Linked DNA regions of Canis lupus familiaris. The protein of the gene in region 2 interacts with the protein of the main gene of each other region in a pairwise test. Links are inferred from orthologs where the notes say so. Each region holds a gene or a part of one and is shown on either strand. Other genes may lie near its edges.

The links.
Region 1: the proteins of CEP76 (region 2) and AKAP7 interact in a two-hybrid assay, tested with the Homo sapiens proteins (3 studies listed by BioGRID). The two-hybrid records come from large-scale screens. The link is inferred for Canis lupus familiaris from reciprocal best matches to the Homo sapiens genes CEP76 and AKAP7.
Region 3: the proteins of CEP76 (region 2) and TTC21A interact in a two-hybrid assay, tested with the Homo sapiens proteins (2 studies listed by BioGRID). The two-hybrid records come from large-scale screens. The link is inferred for Canis lupus familiaris from reciprocal best matches to the Homo sapiens genes CEP76 and TTC21A.
Region 4: the proteins of CEP76 (region 2) and PARD6B interact in binary tests that used the Homo sapiens proteins (3 or more experiments, as listed by UniProt). The two-hybrid records come from large-scale screens. The link is inferred for Canis lupus familiaris from reciprocal best matches to the Homo sapiens genes CEP76 and PARD6B.
Region 5: the proteins of CEP76 (region 2) and CRYBA4 interact in binary tests that used the Homo sapiens proteins (3 or more experiments, as listed by UniProt). The two-hybrid records come from large-scale screens. The link is inferred for Canis lupus familiaris from reciprocal best matches to the Homo sapiens genes CEP76 and CRYBA4.
Region 6: the proteins of CEP76 (region 2) and DZIP1L interact in binary tests that used the Homo sapiens proteins (3 or more experiments, as listed by UniProt). The link is inferred for Canis lupus familiaris from reciprocal best matches to the Homo sapiens genes CEP76 and DZIP1L.
Region 7: the proteins of CEP76 (region 2) and C26H22orf39 interact in binary tests that used the Homo sapiens proteins (3 or more experiments, as listed by UniProt). The two-hybrid records come from large-scale screens. The link is inferred for Canis lupus familiaris from reciprocal best matches to the Homo sapiens genes CEP76 and C22orf39.

Annotation. Positions count from the first base shown.
Region 1 is NC_049222.1:70,056,933-70,060,568, forward strand, and holds the end of AKAP7 (A-kinase anchoring protein 7), read left to right. Parts: intron 1-670; coding exon 671-787; coding exon of another isoform or gene 788-863; intron 864-1,508; coding exon 1,509-1,774; 3' UTR 1,775-2,587; downstream 2,588-3,636. UniProt on the Homo sapiens protein: Probably targets cAMP-dependent protein kinase (PKA) to the cellular membrane or cytoskeletal structures.
Region 2 is NC_049228.1:78,176,789-78,181,010, reverse strand, and holds part of CEP76 (centrosomal protein of 76 kDa), read left to right. Parts: intron 1-362; coding exon 363-587; intron 588-1,748; coding exon 1,749-1,934; intron 1,935-3,790; coding exon 3,791-3,888; intron 3,889-4,222. UniProt on the Homo sapiens protein: Centrosomal protein involved in regulation of centriole duplication. Required to limit centriole duplication to once per cell cycle by preventing centriole reduplication.
Region 3 is NC_049244.1:9,020,413-9,024,634, forward strand, and holds part of TTC21A (tetratricopeptide repeat protein 21A), read left to right. Parts: intron 1-743; coding exon 744-901; intron 902-3,703; coding exon 3,704-3,788; intron 3,789-4,222. UniProt on the Homo sapiens protein: Intraflagellar transport (IFT)-associated protein required for spermatogenesis. Required for sperm flagellar formation and intraflagellar transport.
Region 4 is NC_049245.1:37,743,554-37,747,721, forward strand, and holds the end of PARD6B (partitioning defective 6 homolog beta), read left to right. Parts: intron 1-158; coding exon 159-982; 3' UTR 983-3,318; downstream 3,319-4,168. UniProt on the Homo sapiens protein: Adapter protein involved in asymmetrical cell division and cell polarization processes. Probably involved in formation of epithelial tight junctions.
Region 5 is NC_049247.1:20,682,272-20,687,132, forward strand, and holds the end of CRYBA4 (beta-crystallin A4), read left to right. Parts: intron 1-354; coding exon 355-496; intron 497-1,736; coding exon 1,737-1,879; intron 1,880-3,463; coding exon 3,464-3,611; 3' UTR 3,612-3,809; downstream 3,810-4,861. UniProt on the Homo sapiens protein: Crystallins are the dominant structural components of the vertebrate eye lens.
Region 6 is NC_049244.1:34,855,815-34,860,036, reverse strand, and holds part of DZIP1L (zinc finger protein DZIP1L), read left to right. Parts: intron 1-2,616; coding exon 2,617-2,738; intron 2,739-3,438; coding exon 3,439-3,600; intron 3,601-4,222. UniProt on the Homo sapiens protein: Involved in primary cilium formation. Probably acts as a transition zone protein required for localization of PKD1/PC1 and PKD2/PC2 to the ciliary membrane.
Region 7 is NC_049247.1:29,925,938-29,930,592, forward strand, and holds the start of C26H22orf39 (UPF0545 protein C22orf39 homolog), read left to right. Parts: upstream 1-1,415; 5' UTR 1,416-1,465; coding exon 1,466-1,489; intron 1,490-1,611; coding exon 1,612-1,779; intron 1,780-4,518; coding exon 4,519-4,647; 3' UTR 4,648-4,655. UniProt on the Homo sapiens protein: Negatively regulates long-term potentiation and modulates adult synaptic plasticity. Stabilizes the interaction of RTN4 isoform A/Nogo-A with its receptors, inhibiting clustering of postsynaptic AMPA receptors at synaptic sites.

The DNA.
Region 1 (3,636 bases), on a different chromosome or scaffold from region 2:
ATCACTAGCTGGGAAATAAAATGGCTATGAAGTATTAACATCTGGTAATTTACTGTCATCATCCTAACTCTTGAAGAGTTTTTTATTTCTTCAATTGCAGTGATAGCACTGAGATTTAAAAAAAAGAATATTAGTTTTACAAGGTTAAACCAGTTCGTAGCAGTAGTAATCGTCTTCACGGAAGTTCTGCAAGTTTATTAGCAACTAACCTGTGGGCCAGCAGGTTGATTGGGAAAAACGAGTTGATTGGGAAATCCTAATCACCTGACATTTGGCAGTGGCGAAGGAAAAGCAGATGCAGATGTAGTAGGTGCAGTCCACGTGCCAGAGGCTCCCGGTGTGGGCACATGGACTTTCATAGTAGCAAACAGCCATGGATGAAAGAAGAACAAAAATTCTAGAAATGGGAAGCTTCTAGCATGAGGAGGTGGAGTATTCTTAGACTGGGGTTACTGAACTACTTTTCAATCTGAAATCTCCAGGAATAGGCAATTTCCTGTTTCTGCAAATACCGAATGAAAAGCCAAACCTGTGTTCTCGGATGTAAAGGTCCAATTTGCCAGATTGAAGGACACTTGCACTTTTTAGCTAAGTGAGCTAGCCGGCCGTGCGTGCGAGTCCCGGTGGCAGTATGACCTCTGTGACCTCTCTTCTCTGTCGCGGAATGTAGGTGCTAAGAACGGAGGGGAGCCCGACGATGCTGAGCTGCTAAGGCTCAGCAAGAGGCTGGTGGAGAACGCAGTGCTCAAGGCCGTGCAGCAGTACCTGGAGGAGACGCAGAGCAGAGGCAAGCCCGCGGATGGGAGCTCCGGGAAGGCCCGAGCGGCTGACCGGGGTGGTGCTGACGGCGACCAGAGCGGGAGGTGAGGCCCGGGCAGGCCCCCGCCCCGGGAGGCACCTGCTCCCCTCTGCCGGGCCCACGGGCCCGCGGGCCCACCGACCGCCCGCACCGCCTGCACCGCCGGCTCTCGTCCAGTCTGTGGAGACGGCCTCCTACGTCCGTGGCCAATGTGCTTGCGTTTCTGAAGCACCACGGGGGACAAACGGCGCCACGGGCAGCAGGTGCACTGTGGGAGAAGAGGGGCCCAGGTCCCACCTGCCCTCCGCACAGCCCAGGCGGGCGGCTCTGGGCTGTGCCTCCTGGACACAGACGGAAGGCCACCAAGGGCCTGGGCTGGAGGGAGCCCTGCCATCCCTGCTGCCTGGCTGGCAGCTGCAAGTGCTAAACCGAAGACCCTGCCCGTCGGGATCGTCCTCCACCCTGTTGGTCCACAGTGTCTCACGTCTGTCCTCCGTCTGCTGTTGCCACGCGGGGACTTTTATTTACAGCAAATTCGTTTCGTGCAAATGATATATTTTTTGGCAAAATGCAACCACCTTTTCTATAAAACGTGGGCAACAACATAAAGGTTTCTTTTAACCTCCTTTGGTAAGTCGGTGTGCCCTATGTAATGCTTTTCACTGGCATTTGAATGTAAAATGTGTCATATAATTTTTTCTCCCCGCAGGCAAGAGGCCCATTGGACTCCAGGACTTAATTCGTGAAGCTCTGCGGCGAGAAAGGATGGGTCTGAAGTCCAAGGTGAAGCAGATAAAGGAACTCTTGTTAAAACCGGAGACTCAGGCCAGGATAAGGAGGGAGCTTCTGGAAGGAAGACCTGCTAGCAGCCGGCCCGGCGGTGACCCGGGTGACCGGGTGCTCCAGGCGCCCCCCCGCACCCCAGGCCCTGAGCGCGGCCACGCAACAGGCCACGACTGCTCCGCCAGGAGCTGACGATTTCTTGCCAAAGAAAACTGGTTCTGCCCTGTTGTGTTTAGAGCTGACCCTGTGCTTTCGCATGTTTGTTTCTGTAATATCAAGAATCATTTTACAGAAAGGACTTCATTAGCTGTCGCGACATGGTCCTTGGGTTCCCGCAGGTGATGTGCACAGACTGTGAAAAATCATTTACAGACAAAAAAAAAAATACAGTATTTTAATGGTCACTTGCCTTCTGTTGATGTGATTTTTTTTGTTGCTATTAAATCAGAAGTAGTATTGTCCACACAAGTCTCTATCTAGTGTTACTTTTAATGGGAATCTGAATGTTTATTGAACACTAGTACTTGAATGAGCGTTTCTAAGTGTAATTATTATAATTACTAGTTAAGAATGTTTTATAACATCCATATGTATTATTTTTTAATGATCAAAATGTAGTTTGCTTTTTCATTTCTTAATGAATGAATGTTTGGGATTTTTATTTTCTACTTTTCTGAAGATAAGCCCTAGGTCTTACTGTATTCCTTATAACCTGAATTTGTTTGCACTGGTTCATTTTTAAAGAAAATCCTTGAAAAACTCCCCCCACCCCCCCTTGATACTCACTGGTAACGGCTTTTTCTATAAGTCATTGCAAAATTGCTGCTACTAAGAGATCATGATGGAGGGGAAATTATTGGAGATCAAATATGTAATCATTTCATATGTAAAATCCAGTTTACTCATGGATTTTAGCTATTTTTTCACTGGGCAAATCCTACATTTATTTATAAATGAGTTTATGCATTTTCATGCGTTTTAATAAATGTATCGTTTTCCCTTGTTGCCTCTCCTCACTTTTTTCCTCATTCATGGAAGTGGGTGCTGTGTTGGTGTAAGGAAGTCCTAAGCAGGAGCTCTGGTAGTTTCAGTGTGTTTTCACCATTACTTACACGTCCTTATTCTTCATGCTCGGACAACACCATTGCCAGAGCACCGTCAACTTCAGAATTTTAAATCACCTCAAATCACTTAGCTTCACAGAGAATTAACAAAACAACGCCAAACACAAAGAAAACCCAAATAGCACCCCACAAACTGCTAATTATGTGCCAGGGAAGTGACAGCAGGAGCAAAGATGAAAGGAGTGAGGCCTTCCAGCTGGAAGGCAGGGAGCTGCCTACCATGAAGTCCCTTGATGGTGGAGGGCTTTCCTGCTCCGAGACAGCTTCCTTACATAAACCTTTAAGATAGGAAGCAAAGATATTTTGGGGCTTGCCTTGATTTTCAAATGAAGAAATGGCCTTTAGGAGACTGAGTGCCTAATGCAAGGCCTCTGCTGTTAGGGAGCTGGCCATGAGCTGCAACCCCGGGGCCCCATCTCAACTTTCCGGGGCAATTTTCACTGTCTCATAATCCAGGTTAACAGGATTTCAGGAGAAAGAGCTCTTCTCAGCCTGTATCCATAAATAACCTTTATTCCCAAGGAACTCCTCCAGTCTTCCCAAACTAAGTGAAAGGCTGAGGGAGTGTCCTGTTTGCAATCTGGGGTTACAGGTCTCTTAGGTAAGAATCATTGCTTCCATTGGTTAGATGCCTGCGTGCCAGGTGATTTAGGCAGGTCCTTACTTTTCTTCCCTTCACTGACCCTGCTAGGAAGGTACTAGGATTGTTTTACAGATTAGGAAGCTAGGAAACAGGGTGGGGGGCTGGGGTGTAAATGGTTAAGTGGCTGTAAAGCTAAATGGCTATTTATAGAGCTAATAAAAGGTGGGGCTAAATTTAGACTTGGATCTTCAAAGCCACCGACTTTCCACAATGCAACACTTCCTCTCTACCACGTTAAGGACTAACGGGCAACCAAGGGGGTCACTTTCTTATGACTCAGCCAGCTC
Region 2 (4,222 bases):
TTGCTTTTTTAACGGTAATTGCCTAAAAAGTACACTTGCTGAGTTTATATTTGTTTGGTTTGGCTTTGGCGGTGAAGGCGTGTTATTAGATAAGCACCTGAAGAGCAAAGGTTTCTTAAGCCTTGGCTCTGACTCTTTTCTAGCTGGGAGAAAGTACCCAGAATATAAAAACTCCGATAAAAATATATCTTATTGTGTATGTTTTCTTTCTTGGTTTCAAATGGTCCTGGTATACAGTAAATTTGTTACTTTTTTAATTTAGTCTTTGGTTTTATTTCTGTCAAGTTATTATTTCCTATTGTCTTGATCACATTCCTTAAGTTGTTTGGCAGTTTCCTCATATATATTGCTACACTTTACAGCTAATATTGATCCAACACGGAGGTATCTTTACCTTCAGGTTTTGGGTGGAAAAGCTTTCTTGGAACATCTACAAGAACCTGAGCCTTTACCTGGACAAGTTTGTTCAACCTTTACTCTATGTTTACATTTTCGAAACCAACGTTTTCGTTCTAAACCTGTTCCATGTGCCTGTGAACCAGATTTTCATGATGGCTTTTTACTTGAAGTACACAGAGAAAGCTTAGGTAAGGAGCAATAATAACTTGTCATTTAATTGAGTAAATATTTGTTAGGTTTTATGGTAACATAACTTTTGCTAGAAGGAGAGTTTTATGATGATTGAATCTTCCTACTTTGCTTTTATTTTCTCCACTGCTCTTTTTTACATAAATTACTTCTACCTTTTTGCTTTATTTTCTGCTAAATAATTTTTCCTTAAGATTTTTTATTTTTACTGTTTTAATGGTTGCTTCTTAAGTAGTAAACATTTAAATATCTGTTAGGGGGTTGCCTGGGTGCTGTAGTCGGTTAAGTATCTGACTCCTTATTTTGGCTCAGGTCATGCATGATCTTAGTGTTGTGGGTTTGAGCCCTGCATCGGGCTCTGCGCTCAGCACAGAGTCTACTTGAGATTTCTTTCTCCCTCTCCCTCTCCGCCCCCCTCCCCAAAATCAGTCAATCAACCAATCAATGAATGCCTGCTAGATGCGTTATACTGTACTAGGCAAGTGCTGAGGATCTAGTGAAGAACAAGACATAATTCTTCTCATTTATGAAGGATAGCTAGGTTTATCATGTTATGTAACTTTGAGAAATAAAGGTAAGATGGGAGTCTGTAACTAGTTTTTTAAAATTATATACCTGATTCCTATAATTCTTATATTATTTCTGTAACTGTATTTTATGTTATTTCAATATAGAAATCTTAATAATGTGTTTGCTTAGCAAAGCTAAAAAATTACACCTTTAGAAATTTAGATTGCTAAGATGGCTAATACAGTATGAAAAGATTTTTTTGCCCTTGGTGAAAAAGGTTACCCTAATAAGGCTGTTTATTTTTTTTTTTTAAAGATTTTATTTGAGAGAGCACAAGTGAGCACAAGCAGAGAGTGTTGGGGAGAGGGAGAAGCAGACTCCCTGCTGAGCAGGGGGTGTGACCTGGGGATCCATCTCAGGACCCTTAGATCATGACCTGAGCCAAAGGCAGACGCTTAGCTGACAGAGCTCCCCAGGCGCCCCAGGATTGTACTTTTTAAATTAAGTAATCTGTTGCATGGTTTCTGAGGCATTACCAAATTATTTTATTTGGTTTTATGTAAGTATATTAGTATCCTTTGCAATAAACGTATTCTTCTATGTTGGTCTAATGGAATATGTAATGTGATGCATTTGGTTTATGTTGCCAGGTGATGGAACTAGAATGGCTGATTCAACAACAATGTTATCAATAAGTGATCCAGTTCATATGGTGCTAATCAAAACAGACATATTTGGTGAGACTACTTTAGTAGCATCCTATTTTCTCGAATGGCGATCAGTTTTGGGCTCAGAAAATGGAGTGACCAGTCTTACTGTGGAGCTTATGGGTGTAGGTATGATGATTCATCACTGTTACCTTTTTATAGCCATAGCTTGTTTATAAATGCATTTTATGTTTTCTGAATGCCTTTGTAAACCAAACAGGAAACATGTAAAAAAACTTTCATTAGGGAGTGCCTGCATGGTGCAGTCACTTAAGTATCCGACTCTAGATTTCCACTCTTGATTTTGGCTCAGTTCGTGATCTTAGGGTCATGGTCTTAGGGTCATGAGATCCAAGCTCTGCATCAGGCTCTGGGCTCAGTGTGGAGGAGTCTGCTTAAGATTTCTTTCTCTCAAAAAAAATAGAAAAAAAAAAAAAAAACAGATTCTCTCTCTCTCTCTCTCTCTCTTCCCCTCCCCCCTTTCCTCTTGTGCTTGTGTGCGTCCTCTCTCTCAAATAGATAAATACTTAATAAAATACTTAAAAAAAGAATTTCATCAAAATTACATTTGGACTCTAGTATTGGGGTCTTGGGAAATGCCGTGAAGCATGTTAGTAAAGAACTAGGGCAGCCTGGGTGGCTAAGTGGTTTAGCACTGCCTTCGGCCTAGGGCCTGATCCTGGAGACCTGGGATCGAGTCCCGTGTCGGGCTCCCTGCATGGAGCCTGCTTCTCCCTCTGTCTGTGTCTCTGCCTCCTCTCTCTCTCTCAATCTGTGTGTGTGTGTCTCTCACGAATAAATAAATAAAGTCTTAAAAAAAAAAGGGTATAGAACTATACAGTCAAACTGATCTTGTAAGGAAAAATTTTTTTTTCAGGGGCTTATTTTTTTTCTTCAAATTTATTTGATTGCATATAAGGCTATAAAGAACAGTAGGATTCTTCACACAGATGCATATGTAAAAACTCTACTCCAGCACACTCCAGTGTACAGTGCATCCCCCATTAGTATCAGTGCCTTCCTGCAGCAGTGGTTCTTACAGAATATGGAGGTGATACTTTTCCAACATTTTACATGTGGGAATATGGGACTCAAAGAGGTGCTGACTTGTTCATTGACAGGATCTATGAATAATACTCCTTGAGGAGAGAGATGGTGCCTATTTTATTCACCATTGTTTCCTTGGACTCTTGGGAACTATCTGATGTGTGATATGTATTTTCTAATAGAATAAAACCTACCAGTATTTTATGCATAACATATAAGGGAATTACTTTGGTATTGAAACTAAGTCACAGAGTCAAACCTGGTTGGTGGACGGTATAGCTTTAGTACTTTAGATTTTGATAAGTCATACCCAGAATGTGGTTTTCCTTAAATAGAAAGTAAGGGCACAAGTTTTTTGTGGGATATATGTATTTCCAAAAGATACACATTATTTGTCTTCAAATATAGGCCTAACATGATTATCATAGTAGTGACCAAGAAACAAGTATATTCTGATTCACCAGAGGAATAGTAGATAGTTCTTGTAAAAAGTGTATTTGTTTTCAAATTGTTTAAATCCAGGTATGGATGTGATGCGAAAAATGGGAAGGAATTATTATATGTGACAAAGTATAAATATTTCCTGAGAACCAGATGTTAACAGTTGCTTTACTTTGTTTTTAATGTAAATCTGGTTGGTATACGTTTAATGAAGATAAAAATTAAGAATACCAAATCCTTTAGATCCAAATAGCCCTTTAAAATGTAATAAGCAAGCTCAAAAAATAGATAATCTTACAACTAGATCAAGGTCTTTATGCAAAATAAAAACTGATTTGAATTGTTTTTAATATGAATATTAAAGATGTTGAATATTATCTGTATTTCACGTAAGTGGTAAAGCCAAAATTCTTAGATTATTTTGGTTAGACTTTGGTTGACTAAATATACATAGTCTGGAAACCTCTGAAGTTCTAAATATTTGTTTATATTTATAGGCACAGAATCAAAAGTTTCTGTTGGTATTTTAAATATAAAACTTGAGATGTACCCACCACTCAATCAGACATTATCTCAGGAAGTAGTGAACACACAGGTAAATGATTCTGAATTTCTCTTCTTTGTGTATTTGTTTTCATAGTAGTATATTTATCTATTGATCCTAGAAAGTAATTTCTTTTTGGAAAATTACCACTTAACTGGTTTTAAGCAAGAGAATGACAATACAATTTATTATTAAAAAAATTTTATCTTGGGGTGCCTCAGTTGTTTAAGCATCTGCCTTTGGCTCGGCTCATGGTCTAAGTGTCCCGTGATTGAGCCCCACGTCAGGCTCTCTCCTGGGCAAGGGGTCTGCTTCTCCCTCTCCCTCTGTGATGTTTCTCACTCTGTCTGAAATAAATGAATAAGATCTTTAAAAAAAAATTTGT
Region 3 (4,222 bases), on a different chromosome or scaffold from region 2:
CTACAGGGATCCCGATGTGGGACTTGATCCCAGGACCCTGGGATCACGACCTGAGCCAAAGGCAGATGCTCAACCACTGAGCCACCCAGGTGCCTCTTCCTCTTGTTTTTATTAAGTCTCTTGAGGGCAGGTTGCCAAAGGTCTAACATACGCTCTGGTTTTCAGAGTCATGTTTCAAGTCCTTTAGGAGCATTGCTCTTTGCCCCTCAAGCACCTGGGCCATGACTCACTGAATCACTCACTCACGCACTCGGACCTGGTGGTTGGCACTGACCGGCAGAGGCCAGAACTCCAGCCCCATGATCCTCGATGGAGAAAAAGTGCCACTTCAGCCCCCCAATCCAGAGTGTTCCCTGCAAGCCCTAACTGACCCAGGGCCCCAGGGAGCAATTTTCATTGATAAGGTTCAAGACAGTGAATGGAAAAGGAAAAGTAGAAGTGGAAGGTGCCCAGCAGCCTGAGGTCTCCCTCTAGGGGTGGCCCGCACGTGGTCTTGCTGTATGCCACACCTGCCAGGGTGCCCCAATCTCCCTGGAGCCCTGGCCTCACCTGTCCAAGAAGCCAGGACTGGTGTGGACTTTGATTTGTCACTCTGAGTGATGGTGACTCCTTCCCCAGGGGCTTCGAGGGATTCCCGCAGCACACATATGTCAGGCTCTGCTCCTGTTCTGGTCAAGACCCTGACACCCCTGGACCTCCCTCTGTGGGCACTGATGGAGGCTCTTCTGTTGGGCTTTCAACAGGCAACATACTTAATGATGCAGCAGAACTACTCAGGGGCCCTGGAGGTGGTGAACCAGATCACCGTCACCTCAGGGAGCTTCCTGCCTGCCCTGATCCTGAAGATGCAGCTGTTCTTGGCACGGCAGGACTGGGAGCAGACAGTAGAAATGGGACACAGGTGAGAGGCAGGTGTCCACCGGCACCACTACACCACACCGCTGCTTCTTCCCTTTCTTTGCGAGCCAAGCGTGCTAACATGTTCCCATCTTACAAGATGGGGACATGGGAGACAGCGTGTGTTTGATGCAACAAGACATAAAAGTAAATATTGGCAACAGAGGAGGTACAGAGAGTGATGCGATCATATGGGGAGGAGGCCAGGAGGACATGGCCCCTGATAGACAAAGAAATAGGCATATCTAGAGCTATAAGCATGTTATTTAGGAGAAAGAGACAGAGGAGCGACCCAAGGAACCCAAAGCAACCAGGATTACAGGCTGACAAGCAGTTGCCTCTAAAGAGCGGGGTTAGAGGGGCATAAAGGAACTATTGCATTATTTAATTTTTTTAAATTATGGGTATGATACACCGTAATAAAAACTTCAGGGAAAAAGGTCATCGGTGACTGAGAAGACTTCTAGCCAGACAGCAAGAGCCGGGGAGCTCCTGGGGCTGTGGAAGCCAGATACCAAGTGTGGGTGACCTTGGAGCATTGTCACTGTCTCTAGAAATAAAGACCACTTGGGGGGAGGGATGTCAGATGGAAGGTTTTTTGAGGATGGAATTTTCTAGATAACTGAAGCTTATCTCCTTAAACTAATGCTTTCACTAGTTTTATTAAGTAATTCTAAAATGTGTGCTACTAACTTTCTCCCTAAAAAGAGTTAACAGACTACTTTTTTTCTGAGTGACCACGAGTCATCACTACGAATCATGACTAAGTTGTGGTACTATACAGCACAGTTCAAAAACAAAACAAAACACAAGCAGACCTCTTCCCTGTGGAGGGATGGCAATTCCTCTGATGATCATCACTGGAATTTGAGTCCCCGAGAGAGGCACCCAGGAGCAAATGAATGTAATTGGGATCTGCTCAGTGCACTGGGGCCCCCCACATGCGGTGCCTGTGCAGGCCTCGCTTCTCTGTCTCAGAGTTGACACCTGGCCAGTGTCCTTGGCAGGAACTGGGTGAAGAGCTTGCTTTGGAGGCTTGGCCTTCGGCCAGCGGGATCCTGGGAGCACCTGGCTGACGGCCACAACCGTGGTGTGCGTGGCCTCCCTCGCCCAAGGCCCTGCTGCCCTGCCTGCAGGGAACAGTGTTTAGTGCCAACGGGCTGAGTCCCACAACCGATGCCTGCCCTTATGGAGTTTTTTGCAGCTAGTGGCATTCACAGAACTTCCTCCATTGTTTTTTATTTTTAAAAAACTTGAGATCAGGAGTCAGAGGCCCTACCAACTGAGCCAGCCAGGCACCTTGCCCCTATTGTTTTTTAAATCTGTGCCCCTCTAGGTGTGTTTCTTGTTCCATCCCTAATATTATTTATTTCTCCCTTTAAATTTCCTTCATCAACATCAAAGTAATTTGTTTCATTGACTAGTCTTTTTAAAAACCCCACTCTGAGTTTTGTTGATGGTCTCTATAGTATCTGTTTGCTACTGTGTTAATGTCTGCTCTTTGTGATTTCCTGCCAACTCCTTCCTGTGGGGCTATCCTGCTCTTGTTTTCTAACTCTTGAGTGGGATGCTTGGCTCATCCATTCTCAATTTTCTTTTAGAATATATGTGTTTAGATTTGTGCATGTCCCTCAAGGTACTATTTTAGCAGTATCTACACATTTGGATGTGATATTTTCAGTATCATTTGGTTCTAAGAATTTTCTAATATCCATTCTGATTCTTCTTTAGTCCATAGGTTATTTCAAAAAAAAATTTTTTTTTAAATTTCCAAATGTATTTGTTTCCCTGTACCTACAGAATCAGCATAAAGGATTAGAACTGTTTGAATGTTGACTGCCTAACTAATCATATTGGGATTTTGTGTCTTAATTAGAGTAACCCTCTATGAAGTGCAGGGCCATCCCTAACTAGGCTGAAAAATAGGAAGTTTCCCATAAAGAAACAGAATATTGAAAACCCCAAAGTATGTATGACCGGAAACTGTGTCTTCACAATGACACATGTTGGAAAGCAAGGTTCCCTTTCCATCTTATAGCTGCAGATGACCCATCAAGGACCTCTCCACCACCCTGGGACCACAGGGCCATGATCAAGTCTATGTTAGTTGGCATATGAATAGGCTTCTGTCACAGATTGCCCCAGATGCATGGACTTAAATAACATGAAAGGTTATTCCTCTATCAGATAAGAGTCTGGGAGGTTGTCCAGGACTGGCATAGCAGCTTAACTCTGTTAGGATCCCAGGACCCTTCTGTCTTACTGTTCTATATTCCTAGGACTTTGATTACATGGTCCATGTTTCAGCCAGCAGAAAGAAGTAAGAGAAGAAAGAAGAGATGTGCTGTAAGGAAACAGCTGGATGTCACTGGGGCACTTGCAGTCACATCCTGTTGGCCAGAACTTAACCACAGGGCCACACTTGAGCTGCAGGGGAAGGCTGGGAGATGTGGTCTTTATGCTGGGTAGCTGTGTGCCCAGCCAGATCAGGAGTTCCATTATTTTTTTTTTAAGATTTATTTATTTATTTATTCAGAGAGAGAGAGAGAGAGGCAGAGACATAGGCAGAGGAAGAAGCAGGCTCCATGCAGGAAGCCTGACATGGAACTCGATCCCAGGTCTCCAGGATCACACCCTGGGCTGCAGGCGGCACTAAACTGCTGTGCCACCGGGGCTGCCCAGGAGTTCCATTATTAAAAGGAGAAAGGGAGACAGGATATTAGGAGACAATCAGAAGTGGCTGCAGTGCCATGCTAGCCTGGTCTATGCATACTCAAAATTCATGTGGCTCCTCTTCCTTTTTCAGAATCCTAGAAAAAGACGACGGTAATATCGATGCCTGCCAAATTCTAGCAATGCATGAGCTTGCAAGAGAAGGAAATATGACTACAGTAAGTTCTTCAAGACTCAGGAGTTGGGCCTTGAAACAAGTGCAGCCTAGGAGGAAACGCTCTGAGCTCCACCATCCCCAGGGCCTTTGAGGGTCCTCCCTGGATCTCAGTCCCTCCCATCTCCTTCACCTCATATTCCCTGTAAGAAGGTCGGAAGGACTGCTTTGGGCAGGCAGTGAGGTTAAGTCTGGTTTTGCCATGAGTTACCTCATGTGAGCCTGGGCAGGTTCACCTGGAAAAGCCCTGGGATCAGCATCCATAAATTGGAGATAATTCCAACCACTTTGTGAGGTTGTTAGAGGGACTAAATGGGATGACTAGTGGGAGTGCCTGGGAAATGCCACTTTTTAAAAAAATATTTTATTTATTTATTCATGAGAGACACAGAGAGAGAGGCAGAGACACAGACAGAGGGAGAAACAGGCTCCCTGCAG
Region 4 (4,168 bases), on a different chromosome or scaffold from region 2:
AACTACTGCACTATATTTTGATGATTAAAAACAAGCTAATATTTAAATTGTTTATGTACCAACACATGTGAGTTATCCCTTCTATATAGATTCAACTGTGGTTAAATGGGTGTTTTTACAGCATTTCTGTAATTTTATTTTATTTTATTTTTAAACAGAAGAAGCAGACTACAGTGCCTTTGGTACAGACACACTAATAAAGAAGAAAAATGTTTTGACCAATGTATTACGTCCTGACAACCACAGAAAAAAGCCACATATAGTCATTAGTATGCCCCAAGACTTCAGACCTGTGTCTTCTATCATAGACGTGGATATTCTCCCAGAAACACATCGTAGGGTTCGTCTTTACAAATACGGCACTGAGAAACCTTTAGGATTCTACATCCGGGATGGCTCCAGTGTCAGGGTCACACCGCATGGCTTAGAGAAGGTCCCAGGGATCTTTATATCCAGACTTGTCCCAGGAGGCCTGGCCCAAAGCACAGGACTATTAGCTGTTAATGATGAAGTTTTAGAAGTTAACGGCATAGAAGTTTCAGGGAAGAGTCTTGATCAAGTAACAGACATGATGATCGCAAACAGCCGCAACCTCATCATAACAGTGAGACCAGCAAACCAGAGGAATAATGTTGTTCGGAACAGTCGGACTTCCGGCAGCTCTGGCCAGTCCACGGATAACAGTCTCCTGGGCTATCCCCAGCAGGTAGAACCAAGCTTTGAGCCAGAGGATGAAGACAGTGATGAAGATGACATTATTATTGAAGATAACGGAGTGCCCCAGCAGATTCCTAAAGCTGTTCCTAATACCGAGAGCTTCGAATCATTAACACAAATAGAACTCAGTTTTGAGTCTGGACAGAATGGTTTTATTCCTTCCAATGAAGTGAGCTTAGCCCCCATAGCAAGTGGCACAAACACAGAAACACGTGCTCCGGATCAAAAACTCTTAGAAGAAGATGGAACAATTATAACACTATGAAACCTTTGTCTGAATGTCTTCGGAGTGAGGACACCATAGGGACTTGTAAATTTGGCTAGTTTAAAGCATATATACCTCTGAACCAGTGACCTGGAGTAGGCATGAGAAAAATAATATTGCAAGCTTAAAATGTTATTAAAATAGTAGTTTGATAATTGTTAATATAAACTTCAGTTTGTCAGAGGTGAGTTTAAGTCAGAAAGGGGCCTTTGCTAATGAAATTATATGCTTTTTGCTATTTTGTCTATAGAGAACTGGATGTTAGAGCACATTTTCAGAACTAGGAGAGGACCAGATCATTTCCATTTGAAGTGGTTGCATATTTAACCTGCTGTGCAGAGCCCGGTTAGCTTTTTCTTTAAGTATATTTTTTTAAATTCTAATGTGAAGAAATCTGATTCTGTCCTTTGGTATCTTGGGGACCTCAGCTTCTATGTTCCCTGTATTTTATGTTGATTTTCTAATGTCTGTTCCTTTGTTGCTAATTGTTACAAGTAATTTTTTCAAATGTTTTTTTCTTCTAGTATCTAAGAAATCAAACCAATTGCCTATTTTTGGGAGTTACCTCCTATGTTATAAAACATTGAAGCCATGTTCCTGAATTAAGAAACTGTAACAGTTGTTCAAGTTCAAATCATATTCATCCTGCAAGTTTCATATTTACATGCTCATTCCATATGCATGTAACTTAACATGGTAAAAGGCAGTTCCATTCAACGGTGGTAGCACATGAGACTCCTTAATCTCATCCTCATTCCTATCATTAGAAATCATTCCTTTTGTTGTTTATGCGTGTTTTGTTGGTGTGCTTTCATACACTTTTAATATATTCAAGTAGTATGAATCATTTTGGATTTAAAAAAATGCACCCAACTTAAGAGATTTTTACACACAGGACAAACTTGTGCACTTTTTTTATATGAGATATTTGGTTTTTCCTTCATGGGATTTCTAGGAACACTGTCTACACTTTATGGAAAAAAATATAGAGTATTCACCTCAGGCAGGTAGAGTTTATTGCTATTAATTTTATGAGGCTATTTATTACTTTCCAACGCATCCACTTAGAACAAGTGAAGGGTAAGGCTGCTAACTTCCATTCCTCACCTGATTCCATTGTACAACGTGCACAAGCACTGCAGTATGCCTGTATATAGAAACCAAGAATAGTGTGAGGTCCATAAGTTCCCTGGGGCTTATGGCTATTTCTCTCAGAGTTATTTATTAATTAATTTTATGGTAGGGCTAGAATGGGTACCTTTGTAACAGTTGCGTGCTATGGAAACAATGAAGAATTAAGCGACTCCGTTTTGAAGGATATTTTCTCTCTATGGTAAAGATACATGAAGAAGTCTTGGACTGAAGGAAGGTCACTTGACTCCGAATACTCCATGTATTTTGCTCATGTTACCACTAAACAGATTATCACTAAACTATTAACTGCACAACACTATGTAACGCAATGTACTTTTTTTTGTTGAATTCACCAAACTCTTCCACTTGTATACCACTATTTTTTGACGGCATTCCAGCCATAACCTGTGAGTTCTAGAAATTTGACTCTTGAATGGCAAAATGTTAACATGTAGGTTAAATTTCATTTATATTATGAGCGGTGCAGGGGTTCAACCTTTTAAGTAAAAATCCTTTCACACACTACCTCTCTCTCTTTCTCTCTCTTTTTTTAAACAGAGTTTTAACATCAGAACTTTTCTCTTGGAAAAATACTTCAGGGCTTGACTTTTTGTACAAATTTTAACTATAAAGTACAGATTTGTCTTATATGTCTTCATGAAAATGTAAATCAAAGCTGCTAGTGCTTTTTATTTTAATTATCCTGCTAAGGGTATATGTCAATGGTGTTTAAAACTAGATTTCTCATTTAAATTATTGGTGAAATAATTGATTGCTAGACATATTGTAAAACCAATAGATCTTGGTTATGCAGTAAAATGTCAGTTCGTTGGTAGCCTGAATCAGTTATTTCAAGTGTACCTTATTAACAGAGGATTAAGCATAAAATTTTATAGTACTAAATGTCAAGCCTAACTGTGAATTTTGTTCTGTATCTTGAGTAAATTTAAGATAATGTTCTCATGAGCTATCAACAAAATATATGTACTTTTGTGAACTATGAATTTTCTAATTAAATTTTACATGCGACAACATGATTTTTACATGAATGATACTTTGTTTAAACTATCAAATGTCAGTATTTTACTACAATTTTATTATAAAATGTACATTATCACTAAATGAACTTTGATTTTAAAAATCAAATTAGCTTTAGTTGTATATTATTTTTTACAAATAAAGATAGACTTGTATAAAGGCTACTTTCTTGTTTGCAAATATATGAAAAGTCACCCAACAGATATTTACCGAGCACTCATTATATAAAATGAATAGGTAAATAAATAAATAAATAAATAAATAAATAAAATGAGTAGGAAGAAAATTGCCAAGTTATAACGACATCCTGGCCTCCTTTTGATTTTTAAAAGATAAATACCAAGTTGTATATACATTGCCTGCAACTGTGAGCATATGATTATCATATAGGAAGATAGCATTTAAAATGTAGTTATTCTGATTGTGTGAGAGATTATGTGTGATATCCATGCAGAGTTATCATTTGCAGTAAGGTGATTTGGAACAAGACTAAAGTCGTTTGTAATGGGAAAGTTTATCTTCTGAGATTCAAATTCACTTAGTTACGTTATTTATTACTACCCTATGTGGCATTGCCTGTACAGATTGGGTTCGGTTTATACTGGACAATGGGAAAGCCGTGAGATAGATCAGACCCTCCTACTGAGCCATTTCTAATCCCAAATTCATCACTGTCATTGGCTTAGCTGATCCCTGCACTAACTGCCAGCCAGGGTGGAGGAGGGATAATCTTTCTAATTCCCTCCCCCAATTTAAAAACAGATTGACAATCCTCTGAGTAAAAATTCAACATTGTAAAAAAAAAATTCAACATCGTGTACAAAGAACTCTTTACATCATTGATTGGTACAGACTGTGTTGCATTCAATACCTGGTATTTATCTCTGGGTTTTCAGGGTCCATGAAACAATGGTGTGGAACAAAAGCATCCCTTTCACCCCCTAAAATATGACCTCGGTATTGTTTGTATCTTAAATCCCTGCTGCTTCCAAGTTTCTAGTTCTGGGTAAAGAG
Region 5 (4,861 bases), on a different chromosome or scaffold from region 2:
TGGCCAGGCACCTGCCCGAAGCAGTTCCCCTACCCACGGGGCCTACAGCAAGGCGGTGAACTACACACGGTCTGGGCTGGGTTTCTCCAGCTCGGCATGGTGGGTTTGATGCTGGATGATTCTGTGATGGGGGCCTGTCCTGCGCTTTCAGGATGTTCAGCAGCATCTGTAGCCTCTACTTGCTAAGTGCCAGTTGCAAACAACCTCTCCTCCCTCCTCCCAGTGTGACAACTAAAAATGCCCCTAGACATTGGTTAAATGTCTCCTCAGTGGTAACTCCTAAGTGATAACCATTGATCTGGGACTCGGAACGTGGGTCTCTTACCCCTTGCACTCTCTACCCCCTGTCCGCAGGTGGGTAGGCTTTGAGCATGCTGGCTTCCAAGGGCAGCAGTACGTGCTGGAGCGGGGCGAGTACCCGTCCTGGGACGCCTGGAGTGGAAACACAGCCTACCCCGCCGACAGGCTCACCTCCTTCCGACCGGTGGCTTGTGCTGTGAGTCCTTGCCACCACCTTGTCCCAGGAAGGCCTGAGCCGCTCCAGTGGGATTTGGGAACCGATCGTCCCAGAGTTCAAATCCTCATGTCACTTCTTCAAGCCATGTGACGTCCCCTCTCTGAGCCTTGGTCTCTTCATCTTGAAATGGGGCCATGTCATGGGGAAGGCTCTGGACGAGATCACCGCATACATTGTGACCTTCATGGCTTCGGTTATGATATGAGCCCCTGTGTGTTTCACGTCCTTCTTTTCATGACATGGGGATCCTGGAGAAGCTGGGTGCCAGGGGTGGCAAGACAAGGTGGGGAGGAAGGTTCTATTTCTTCTCCCTGATTCATTATCAGTGTTCCTGATTTTATACTCCAGCTACTGTCTATGGAGTATGGGTGGAGGTGGGCATTATTATCTCCATCTAACAGATAGAAGAGCTGAGGCTTGAAAAGATGTGAGTTTTTTTTCTTCAAAAGCAACTTTCATTATTTTATTTTTTATTTTTTTATTTTTTAGACATTTTATTTATTCATTCATAGAGACACACAGAGAGAGAGGCAGAGACACAGGCAGAGGGAGAAGCAGGCTCCATGCAGGGAGCCCGATGTGGGACTCAATCCGGGATCAGGCCCTGGACTGAAGGCGGCACTAAACCGCTGAGCCACCTGGGCTGCTCACAACTTTCATTACTTTACAAATCACACAAGGCACATATATTTATCATCCAAAGTTCAGAAAGAAACCTGATATGTTAGAGGAAGAAGTCATACTCACATGTCTGAGACAGAAGCCCAGTCTTAACAGTGCCGGAGACTTCCTTTGGTCTTGTTTGTTATCAACAGATTCAATCTATACCAATTGTTTTTTTTTTTTTTTAAGATTTTATTTATTTATCATGAGAGAGAGAGAGAGAGAGAGAGAGGCAGGGATACAGGCAGAGGGAGAAGCAGGCTCCCTGCAGGGAGCCCGATGCGGGACTCGATACCAGGACTCTGGGACCCGCCCTGAGCCAGAGACAGACGCTCCATGGCTGAGCCACCCAGGGGTCCCCATGGTTATTTTCTTTGTATACATTTCTGGATGGGCAAATGGTATATACCTTTTGTAAGGTTTCTGTAACCTCATTACCCTTCCAAAAGATTTTGTAAGGAAGGCTGATTTGTGGGGACAGGGGCAGGGGTGTCAGCAGAGGCTCCTGGGTTCTCGGCTGGGCTTCTGGTGGTCCGACCGTTTCTTCTTCCTACAGAACCACCGTGACTCGAGGCTGACCATCTTCGAGCAAGAGAACTTTCTGGGCAAGAAAGGCGAGCTGAGTGACGACTACCCCTCCCTCCAGGCCATGGGCTGGGATGGCAATGAAGTGGGCTCCTTCCACGTCCACTCGGGGGCGTAAGTGAATCTGAGGCTCTGCCTGGAAGAGAAGGAGAGGCTGTTGGGGGTGAGGTGTGTGTGGGGGGGATATGTTCCGTGAAAACTGTGTGCTGGGGACTTTGGGGCGCTGGTGCCCACATTCCAGAGGAGGACACTGAGGCACAGAAAGGTATAAGGTAAGAATATGTGGGATCTCAAGTGGCAGACTTCCATACCAAACTGATATTATGCCCAAAGGATACTGATTGACCCTTGTCATTAGCTTCAGGCACAGCTGGATCCAGGTGCTACGGCAGGGTTCTGTCTTGCCTCATTGTGGCTAAATTCTCAGGCAAGCTCTTCCCAAGCAAAGGCCACACGGCAGCTTCATTCTTACCCCAGCCAGCCCCAGGGAAAGAGAGCGTCTTTTTCTCACTGATTCCACCAAAGGTTCCAGGAAAGGCTCTCATTGGCCCAACTTGGGTCATGTACTCAACTCTGAACCAATCGTCATGAGCAAGAAGGGGGTGGTCTGATTGGCTAGGGTTGGTCACATGCTCATTGCCAGGACTTGGAGGGGTGGCAGGGGGTCTCTCCCCAGAAGTGGGGAGAATGGATGTCCAGCCCTTAAGAAATAGGTGTGGCTCAAACATCCTGCTCCAAGTCTACCAGCTGCTAGGTGACTGAATCCAGCTTCAAACCCTGGAATGACTGACCCTTCTCACTCTTTCCCCAGGGGCTGGCAGGTGAAGGCCAAGATGTGAGGTCTTCATTTAGGGAGGACATTACAACCACCTTCTTGGAGTACCCTTAGGCTCCTGGTAGGGGTGAAGGTGAAGGTGGCAGGGTTTTTTTTGTTTGTTTAACAGTTTCCCTTTTTTTAACCATCAGAAAATCTAGTTGTTCCAAAGTAGGATGGGCCTCTTGTGATTCCTGAATCCACTTCCCCCTTATAGAAGGGGTAATGGAAGCTCAGAAAGTGAGACACCAATTCTTGTCCAATCCTGAGCAATGTAGGGGGTCAATGAGTGGAAAGAACAATAGCCTTTGCCTTGGAAGGGCTTCTGGCTAAGGGAAGAGGGGAAGGAATAAAATTCCACACTCCCTCCTTCCATCCTTCCTCCCTCCCATCCTTCTTTCCCTCGTCCCTTCCTTCTTTAACTATTATTAGCCCCTCTTCTGTGCCGGGCATTGCACTATGCACAAGAGATCCCAATGAACCAGACACACACAGCCCTACACCAGGAGCTTACCTGCTGGTGGAGGAGACGGACATTTTACAAGTAATCTGATACTTGTCTAATTATATGAGAACTACAGAGGACCAGAAAGGGACAGTGGCCTGAATTGGAGAACCAGCCCTCAAAACAAGCTGAAACCTGACTGATAATTATAACTTGGCTAGGCGCCAGGCTAAGAATGGCTGGAATGGTGTTCTTGGCAGAGGGAACAGCATGATCAAAGGCCCAGTGGTGGGGAGAGCAGAGCACATTCCAGGCAGTGAAGGAAGCCTGGGATGGCTGGAATGTGTATGCAGCATGGGAGCCTTTGCCCCCCACCCCCCAATTTGGTCCCCTCGCTGATGCCTCTTTAGGGTAACGGTCTGCCTCTTCTGTTCCCCAGCTGGGTTTGCTCCCAGTTCCCTGGCTACCGAGGCTTTCAGTACGTGCTGGAGTGTGATCACCACTCAGGCGACTACAAGCATTTCCGAGAGTGGGGCTCTCACGCCCAGACCTTCCAGGTGCAGAGCGTCCGCAGGATCCAGCAGTGAGCAGGGGGCCCGGCGGTGGCGGCGGCAACGAGGAGCAGATGTGTGCTTGTCTGGACAGAGGACCTGTGGCGGTTCTTCTGTGCACCCTCCTCTGCCTCCCCCTGTGGCCCCTGTGAGCCCAGCACCCATGTGAGCCAGTTCATGCACAGTCAGCACGAAACAAAAAAAAAGTAATAAAAAAAAGAAGATCTAGCGCTAGTTTGTGTTTTTTCAATTTTATTCATCCGCTCAAGCAACCTCGGTTTTTCCACTTTATTGATTTGCTCGCTCATTTGTCTGTGTCCAGTTCGCTCCATTGTACTCCTACCATCACCATTTCCTTGCTTCTGTGTACTCTGGGTTTCCTTTATTCTTAATTTTTCTAGTTTGGGAGGGTAGACCCTTGGGTCATTCATTTTAGACGCTGCACTTCTAAATGACCGGAGAGTCATTGTAGAGCTATTAATTTCCCTGTGAGCACAGCTTTAGCTGCTTCCCCCACATTTGAATTGTTCAGTCTGATATTTCCCAGTTTTCCCCTGTGAATTCTTCTTTGGCCCATGGGTTCTTTAATGGTATGTTATCTTTTGGGATTTTTGAGATATTTTATTGTCATTGATTTGTTCTTAGTCCGTTGTGGACAGAGAACACATTCTGTCGGATTTCAATACTCACGCTCGCTTTCGGCAGCACCTATACTAAAATTGGAACAATGTAAGATTTCAATACTCTGGAGTCCAGACTTAATTTATAGCTCAGCAGATGGGCTATTTTTGATAGACTTGGTTGCCCACTTGAAAACTGTTTATTTATTTATTTATTAAATATTTTATTTATTTATTCATAGACACAGAGAGAGAGGCAGAGACACAGGCAGAGGGAGAAGCAGGCTCCATGCAGGAAGCCCGATGTGGGACTCGATCCCGGGTCTCCAGGATCACACCCCAGGCTGCAGGTGGCGCCAAACCGCTGCACCACCGGGGCTGCCCTGAAAACTGTTTAAATTTTGAAGTTGTCGGTTGTGGTGTTCTGTCAATGTCACTTAGGCCAAGTTGAGGTTGGCTAGTGTTTTTGGCAAGTGTGGGTTAGATTTTTCTACATTTTTGCTGACTTTTTAAAAAATATTTTATTTATTTATTCATGAGAAACACATAGAGAGAGGCAGAGACATAGGTAGAGGGAGAAGCAGGCTCCCCGTGGGGAGCCCCATGCAGGACTCAATCCCAGACCCAAGGATCATGACCTGAGCCGAAGGTAGACACTCAACCACT
Region 6 (4,222 bases), on a different chromosome or scaffold from region 2:
CTCAGGCCTCATCATCCAGTAGAGGAGGGGATGATCCCACCATCTACCATGGGGGAATCTGTCCCATGTGAAGATGGGAGGGTTTCTGACCATGTGTGTAGAGAAAAAGAGAGATAAGTTCTGGTGTTAGCTTTATCCCTTTTTATTATGTGACCACTGTCAGTGCACCCCTCTGAGTCACAGTGGCCTTTGCTGTGAATGGGACCGTCAGATGCAGTGGTTTTGAAGGGTCCTTACCTTCCAGCCTTCTATGAGTCTGCTATTTTCTGATGCTAGCTATGAATGTGTTTTTAAATGGGGTTAATGAGCAATTAGGCCAGTCTTTTGACTTTTTGTGTGTAGCTAATTATGACTTAATCACTTTAATTTTACTATTTCAAGTTCCAAAACAAGTAGCGAGGCTGTATATTTCCCCATAAAGAGATTTACGAACTTTATATCCATTTTTGTGGTTCCATAAGAAATAGGTGTTAACACGTGAAATAAATATAGATATGAAAATATAAATCTTATAAATATAAAAATCCCATTAAATAAAACTTTTTTCTTATTTTTTCATTTTAATTTCCTTTTCAAAGAGCAGACTTAGAGTTTTAAAACAGGACCGTTTACTTACTTATTATGCATTTATTATATATCTGATTTTTCTTGGTTCTGTATTGGAGGCTGCTAAACAAAAACATTTTCTGCTTCTTAAATGTTTTTTTCTGATTAAGAAGATATGTCTTTGAAGAGGTGTTTGTATACTGATATTCATAACAGCATTATTCACAGTAGCTAAGATTGGGAAGCACCCGAACGTCTGTAGACAGATGAATAGATAAGCAAATTGTGGTATATACATTCAAGGGAATATGATTTGGCCTTAAAAAGAAGGGAAATTCTGTAATATGTTACAATATGAATGAACTTTGAAGATATTATGCTAAGTGAAGTAAGTCAGTCACAAGAAGACAAATACTGTATAATTCCACATAATATGCGGCACCTAGAAAAGTCAAATTCATAGAAACAAAGTAGGATGAATGATGGTTGTCAGGGCCAGGGGAGGGGGTGCATGGGGAGTTATTTAAAGCATACAGAGTTTTTGTTTTACAAGAAGAAAAGAGTTATGGAAGAGGATGGTGGTGACAATTGCACATTATGAATTATTAATGTATTTAATACCACCGAACTATACATTTAAAAATGGTTAAGATGCTAAATTTTATGTTATGTGTATTTTACCACAATAAAAAAATTGGAAAAAAATACTTTTGACCTGGAATATTTAAATACAGAAAGGTAGAAAAGGTAAGAACCACGGTCAAAATCACAGTTAATATTTTGATGTTTTTCTCTGTTTTATTTTTCTGTGTATGTATATAATCATATAGTATGCAGTTTTGACTGTTGCTTATCTTCAGTTAGGAATATATCACATTTCTATTGTCATCCAGTCATCTTGGGAAACATGGCTTTTAATGGCTGAATAGTATCCCATCCTGTGGCTATCCTAATTTATTTCACAATTAAATTACTTTATACTTTATATGGGTTACTTGTCAATTTCCCTATTATAAATCACATAATGATCAACATTCTTGCATGTAAATCTTTGTGCATATTTCTTATTATTTTCTTAAGGTTAAGTGTTGAAGGAGAGGGAAAATATGTTCTTAAGGCAATTTTTGCTAAATTAATGACCTTTTTATTCTCAGGCAGCTGGCTTTTCAGATCCCTCTGCTGTCCGATTTCATATCATCTCAAATCACTTTGTTAACCCAAATTAATTTCTACTGCATTTAAAAATTGCTGTTTCCAAAAAATCCAGTTTGAGGAAAACCATTTCTTTTTTTTCAAAGACAGGTTTAGAGGTTTAATAACAGTACCATCTATCTAATAGGCACTACAGGTACTTTAAAAAGTAACAAATGTTCAAGTACAATTGGCGTCTTTTCAATTAACCTGTAACTCTTGGTTTATCAGTATGTGGTTTAGTTAGAATGTTCTTTTATACTTCATTCTTTTTTTTTTTAATCTTAGAAATGTTAAAATATACTTTTAAAGCAACCTTGGCTAAAATTTTCTTCGTAATGCATGCTGCTTTTTTTTTTCCATTTGAAATTTAATACTATACTGTGTTTCTGAACAAAGTGAACTTAAAACTACAATTATTTTCACTCCTTTAAACTCCTCTCTGATGGCTGCCAGGTACATAGATGTGTTCTTTGTATTAATAATCACTGTGTACGTGCTATTTGGTATTATGCTTCTGTTACCTACCAATCTCGCATTTACATTTGTGTGTGTTGGTACCATCAAAATAGTTATTTTAAGTGATAATAATAGTTCACATTTATTGAGTTGTCATGCCAGGCACTGTGCTAAGCATTTTGCACTATCACCTTTCACCCTCGCGACAACCCTCTGAGTTAGGTGCTGTTGTTATCTCCATTTTCTGATGTGGGGAAACTAAAGGTCAGGGATGTTATGTCACTTGCCTGTAGTCAATGTCCAATGGAAGTGGCATGGCTGGTCTCAGCCAGAGGTGTGACACATCGCATAGATGAGGAACCTTGTTTCACTCACTTTTTAACTTAAACTGGTTATCCTGTCTTTGCATGGACCCCACAGCGAAGCAGAAGCCAGAGCGGCTGTTGGAGGAGGACGTGTTGGAAGAGCTGCGGGCCAAGCTAAAATGGACTCAAGAGGAGCTGGAAGCCCAGAGGGAGGCAGAGAAGCGCCGACAGCTGCAGGTGGGCATGGAGAGGAAGCGCCAGGGAGACCCGCTCGTGGACTACCCAGGAGACCCAAGAGGCACCTGTATTCCACAGGACCAGAAGTCAGGCTGGTTTTCTGCAGCAGGAAACTAGCCTGCAGCAGGGAGTCAGCCAGCACCAGGATAGCATCTTTCTGGATATGGCAAATGATCTTGGGTTGTCTGAGAAGGAAGATTCAGTTATTTTTCCAGATCTGTCTGGCCACAAGTAGAGCAGAGAATTGCATTTTCCTACATTATTCAGCACTCTGTGAGGGCATTTAAACCAGAATGTTAACTTCTTACACTACCCTGCTAGTTTGCGCTTTGAAGAACAAAGACTGGATAAACTCCAAAGTCCACTCTCAAGGATGTACTTAGTAGATAGTTGTAGAATGAAGATATGTAAATTTGTCTCACCCCTTCCTTCATGTAATCATTTCCTCAGCACCCATTTATTGAGCACCAACTATGCCAAGAATACAAAGAGAGAGAAAAGACATGGTCCCTACCCTCAAGGGACTTTACAGTTTGGATAAGACTTGTCCCACTCCATGCCCAAACAGTGGGAGCTCTGAGATGATTGTGCTTTGGGTCTCCATAATGACTTGCCCATACAAGAGGCCCTAGCAGTTTCTCAGTAAATATTTGCGGTAATGTGGAATTAATGATTCTATTGTTCTTGCTTTTCTTTCCAGGAAGCAGAGGTCAGCCATCAGAAGGAAATAGAAACTAAGAAAAAATTTGATGAATGGAAAGAAAAGGAGTGGGCCAGCCTATATGAAGAAATAGACAAGTTTAAAAGATCATTATGGGATGAATTTAAAAGTGTTGCCAAACATAACTCTATGCTAGAAGAGGTAACTTACACAAAAGGCGTTCAAAGTTCTTTTGCTGAAAAATCTGTTTATTCTTAAAATTTATTTCTTAGTTTGTTCTAGTTTTATTCCATCTGCCATTGGGGGCTGATATACTGTTAGGCTGGATACCAGAGGCTGATGCCAGGGGCTGAATCCCTGCTCTAGCACATTTTGGCTGTGTGACCATAGGCGAGTTACTTAACCCTCCTGTGCCTCAGTTTCTTTTCTGTAAGATAGATTGCTGAAAGGGTTAAATTAGCACGTAGAGAGCACTTCACATTGTTTGGTATATAGTAAAAACTCCCTAGACTTTATTTTTGCAAAGGAGTTTCTTTCATCACTGGATAAGATATGAGGCAAAATTTAAATAGATGCAGCACTTCTCTCTCAACAAATATATGCTGACACTGCCTACATGCCAGCCACTCTGTTGGGGTCTGTGGAGATCACATGTAATAGTAAGATTTACTAAAGGTATTTACTGTTTTCCCCTGTACAGAGTGCTTTATATACACTAACTTTTAATTCTCACAACAACAAAACAACCATAACATCCTCAAAGTAGGTACATTTTTCATTTACTTACTTCTTTTTTAAAGTTCTTTAAACAAAACTATTCTCA
Region 7 (4,655 bases), on a different chromosome or scaffold from region 2:
CTTCCGGGGGCTTTTGGAGAATATATGGAGAGATGAGGCTCTGACCCCTGCATTGGGGATGGTCAGCCTGAACAGGGTCTCCTCTTGGAGGAGGACTCCTGCTTAGAGATAGAGGGGTCCATCTCTTAACGGAACTTCCAACAGTCAAGACGATGCTTCCTTCAGGATGGTGGTCCGGGGTCTACCCGTACGTCCAAGAGTATATGATGGTCACGCAGATTAGGCCAGGCTATGGCCCAAAAGGTCACTAATGATGGACAGGGTGTCAAGAGGCATGAAGCACTGCTATGACTTCCCTGATCCTCCATTAAGGAGTCTCTTTCAGTAGCTGAGGTAGAATCCCTCCTTGGTGGGTAGGCAACCTCCTTTTGCAGGATCACATTGGCTAATGTGTCATTTGATGCATAATGAATATTACAGAAAGGCACGGACTGGTCTTGGGTTTTTGTCTTCCTCCCTAAGCAACACCTACGTGTATGCAATGAAACCACCCCTGATCCTTTGCTTGAGCCACTCTTCCTTCCCTAGGCCAGGGGCAGTCCCTGTTGGGCTTCTGGTAGCAGAGGGGAGGGGCCATCCAGAGCAAACTTCTGGGTTATCCGTGCTGCACCCTGGTCTGCAGGCTTCCCCGTCTCCAAGCTTGGTCTGTGGCCAGCTTGGCCGGACCGCTGGTAAAGCGGCAGCCTCTGCCCCACCTCGAGGGCGTCTAACCCAGCCTCGGTCCCGGGGCAGGCGAGCAGCAGTTGTAAGGGGCTCCCCACAGGGAATTAAGTTCGTGGAAGTCGGAGAACCACTGCATGGATATTGCAGGGCTACTCTGCAGATCACCAGCCTCTGCTTTTATTGCCTCTTGTGCATCTGTCCTGTTTATAAATGTTCGGTGTCTTCCATACCTCGGAGTAAAACTTCACTCCTAATCCGACGTGCGAGGCACCCTACGCTGGCACTGCCCTGTCCTCTACCCCAGGTCACACCGGCCTCCACTTTTGACAGGCCCGGCTTCCATCGGGAGATCATCCGGCGCCCTAGAGCCTCAACTCCCACTGGTCCTGCCTGGCCACCCTCCACCCCGCCAGCGCCGCAGCCTCGGCAGCTTCGCCATGTGGAGTTGATGCTCATTGTGTGCTCACGGAAATGAACCCTATCTGTGCAGATTTAGTAAACCTGAAAATAAGCCTGGACTCCGTGGTTTCAGAAAGAGCTCACTTCGTGGCTGTGCCGCCCAGGAAGCCCGCCAGGCACCGGGCGGACTGCACGCCAGGCGTTGGGACCTCGGGACCTCCGCACACGCCCCCGCCCGCCCGGGCCCCGCTCCCGGGCTCCCGCAGGCCCCGCCTCCGCGTGTCACCGCCCCCGGCTGCTATTGGCTGCTCGGCCGGACGTCAAGGAGGTAGGCGCGGAGTCGAGGGTGCGCTGCCCCAGTCCCGGCCCGCGAGCTGGGGGCGGGGTGCCGCAGGCGCGGGCCATGGCGGACGCAGGCGGTTGGCGGGTAAGTCCGGGGCCGCGGGGCGTGCGGAGAGCCCGTGACCCGAGGCCTCTCCCGAGGAGGGCGCGGGGCTGGGTCCCCGGGGGCGGTGCGGGGCCCCTGGCTCAAGCTCCCTGTCGCCGCAGCCGCCGCGCCCCTGCGAGGCCTACCGCGCCGAGTGGACGCTCTGCCGCAGCGCCGGACACCTCCTGCACCACTACTACGTCCACGGCGAGCGGCCCGCCTGCGAGCAGTGGCGGCGGGACCTGGCCAGCTGCCGGGAGTGGGAGGAGCGCCGCAGCGCCGAGGCCCAGGTGCGGGGGAGCCCGGGGGGCGCTGGGGCACCGACCGCGCCCTCCCCACCGTCAGGCCCCCGGCCCCTGGAGAGGAGTCGGCCTGGGTCCTCCTCCGCTTGTGCTTCCTTCCTTTTGAGAAATATCAAAAATCAGTTTATCAACAGGGCTTTACAGTGAAGAAAGGAGGAGAATGTAGAGTGGTTTGGGGGAGAAAGAAGAGGGATCCCCTAACAGTGTTAGTGTCGGCAGCCCTGCGCAGGAGGTGGTATTTCTGAGGCCTTTGGGACATGGCCAGCTGGTCCCAGCCTCAACAGCCTTCACCAACCCAGGGCGGGACACATCTAAGGAGCAGAAAGAGCCGGGTGCTTGGAGCAGGAGGGTCGGCTGTAGACTGGTAGGGGTTGAGGCTGGAGAGGTACCAGGGAGCTGGTGGGCCTTTATGAAGTGTTTAGATTCAGCCTAAACGTATGCTGAGAAGCATGACTTGGTTTATATCTTTAAAAGATTAGTGTGAGGGTTCTGGGTGCCTGAGTCAGTTAAGCATCTGACTCTTGGTATCAGCTCAGGTCTTGATCTCTGGCTCATGAGTTCAAGCCTCTTATTGGGTGCCAGGCTGGGTATGAAGCCTGCTTAAAACAGGGGTGGAGGAGTGCCTGGGTGATTCATCTGGGGACTGACTCTTGATTTAAGGCTCAGGTTGTCATCTCCAAGTTGTGGGATCCAGCTGTGAGGAGCCTGCTTGGGATTCTCTTGTCTCTCTCTCTCTGTCTTTCCCTCCCTCCTTCTGCTCCTCCCTATCCCCCTTCCCAGTCTTAAAAAAATATATAGATAGAAAGACAGATAGAGATCAGTCTGACTGCCAGGGTGGGAGAGTGTATTACCGAGGGGCAAAGAGACAGTGAGGAGGTGGGTCTGGTTTTCCATTCATTCAGCATTCAGCAAGTATTTATCATGTTGGGTGGTCTTACAAATACAGGAATGAGAACAGAGCCCTGCCCTTCTGGCACCTTCGTTCCAGTCTAGAATAGGCAGTGGTGCCTTGGAACTATTGTGGGTAGGGGAGACATGAAGAGAAGCTTGAGGGTGCAGTGCTTATGGGGAAGGGAAAACGGGCCCCAGCAGGACTGGAGGCTGGTTAAATGTATGTGATTATTGAAACAAACTCATGTGGAAACCAAGCTACCATATAAAAGAAAATGATGACAGGTCCATTATAAGTGGAAATCAAAAAATTGGGAAAGGACTTGTGTAGCAAGAGATTATTATTATTTTTTTGAGAGAGAGAGAGCTCTCATACATCGGTAAGAAAATGGGGATGATTTCAGAATAGAAAAGTGGGAAAAGGTCATGAGAAAGGAATTCATTCAAAAAGAAAATCAAATGGCCTGGTATACAAGGTCAACTGACAAATGGCTTCTGCCCAGTGAAGTGTCAGAGTGCTGATAAAGGTCTGGAGAGTCAGGGGTACTTATGCAGTATTGGTGGAGTGTTACGTGTTCTGATTATCTGTCAAAAGGATACCTTTTGACTGCCTGGTTTTACTTCCGAAAGCCCATCCTAGGGAAGTAACTGGGTAATAGTGCACAGTTAAAAAATTCACAATATCTGTTGCCTCACTGTTTGTGATAGTGCAAAAACGGAAAGCACCCTAGATGCCACTAATAGACATGTAACCAAATAACTTCGTCGACCCAGTGGGATATGACATAGCCATTAAAAAAAAATAGATAATAATCTATCTGGGCAGGGAAAGGTACCTGTATGTATGTTGCTTAGTAAAAAATGGAGGATGTACACTAGCCAGTAAGTGATTCCATCTTCAGGAAAACATGTAGCCCTAACATTTATGTCTCAGTTGGGTTGGGGAAACTTAATTTCACCACAGGGACAGAGGTCTTGGAAATTTTTCATATTCTTTGCATTTGATTGCTTTTTAAATAAGAACAAAAACACTGTTTAAGACAATACAGCTTGAGGAAAGACAGATAATTAGATAGAGGAGGTGAAATTATATATATAAAAAGGCCAGCATAGTGCCTGGCACCTACCAAGTGCACCTTTCATAAGGTGCTGTCCCGTGTTCCTTCTGGGAGGAGAATGGCAGAAAAAAAGCCAGCTAGTTGAGTGGCACCTATTTTCTTTCTCCTCTGGATTCCTCCTCATCTGTCTGGGGCTCCCTGCGCACGTGTCTCTTGCCTCATCCTCCCCACTGTGGCCACTCTTTCAGACTCTTCTCTCTTCTTAGCTCAGCACCATGCTGATCTCAGCAGGTAAATCTGATTAGGTCGACTGAAGGCATCAAGTCCTGAGGCCCAGAAGAAATTTTAAAATTTACCCAAATTATGATGATCTACACAGTTTTTCACAGGAGCTTGAGAGAAAGAATGATCTAGATTTGTGCATTTTATAATTTTTTTAAATTTTTATTTATTTATGATAGTTACACGGGGCCGGGGGGGGGGGGGCGGGGGCAGAGACACAGGCAGAGGGAGAAGCAGGCTCCATGCACCGGGAGCCCAACGTGGGATGCGATCCCGGGTCTCCAGGATCGCGCCGTGGGCCAAAGGCAGGCACTAAACCGCTGCGCCACCCAGGGATCCCAATTTGTGCATTTTAATACAGCATAATCGCCAAGGTTTATTAGATGTATTAGTGTATGTGCCATACACTTTGACTTGTTGGGGGGTGGGGGGTGCTAAGGAGGAGGGAGGTACAGGACCATGGGAGCCCAAGGTGACTGGAGTCTCCTTTGCACAGCGGTCCCTCTGTGAGAGTGAGCGTGCCAGAGTCCAGGCGACACGGAAGCACGCCCTGGTGTGGACCCTGAGGCAGAGCCCTCCTGCGGACTGGCACCTCCCACTACCACAGGAGGAGAAAGACCAGTGATGAGCTTT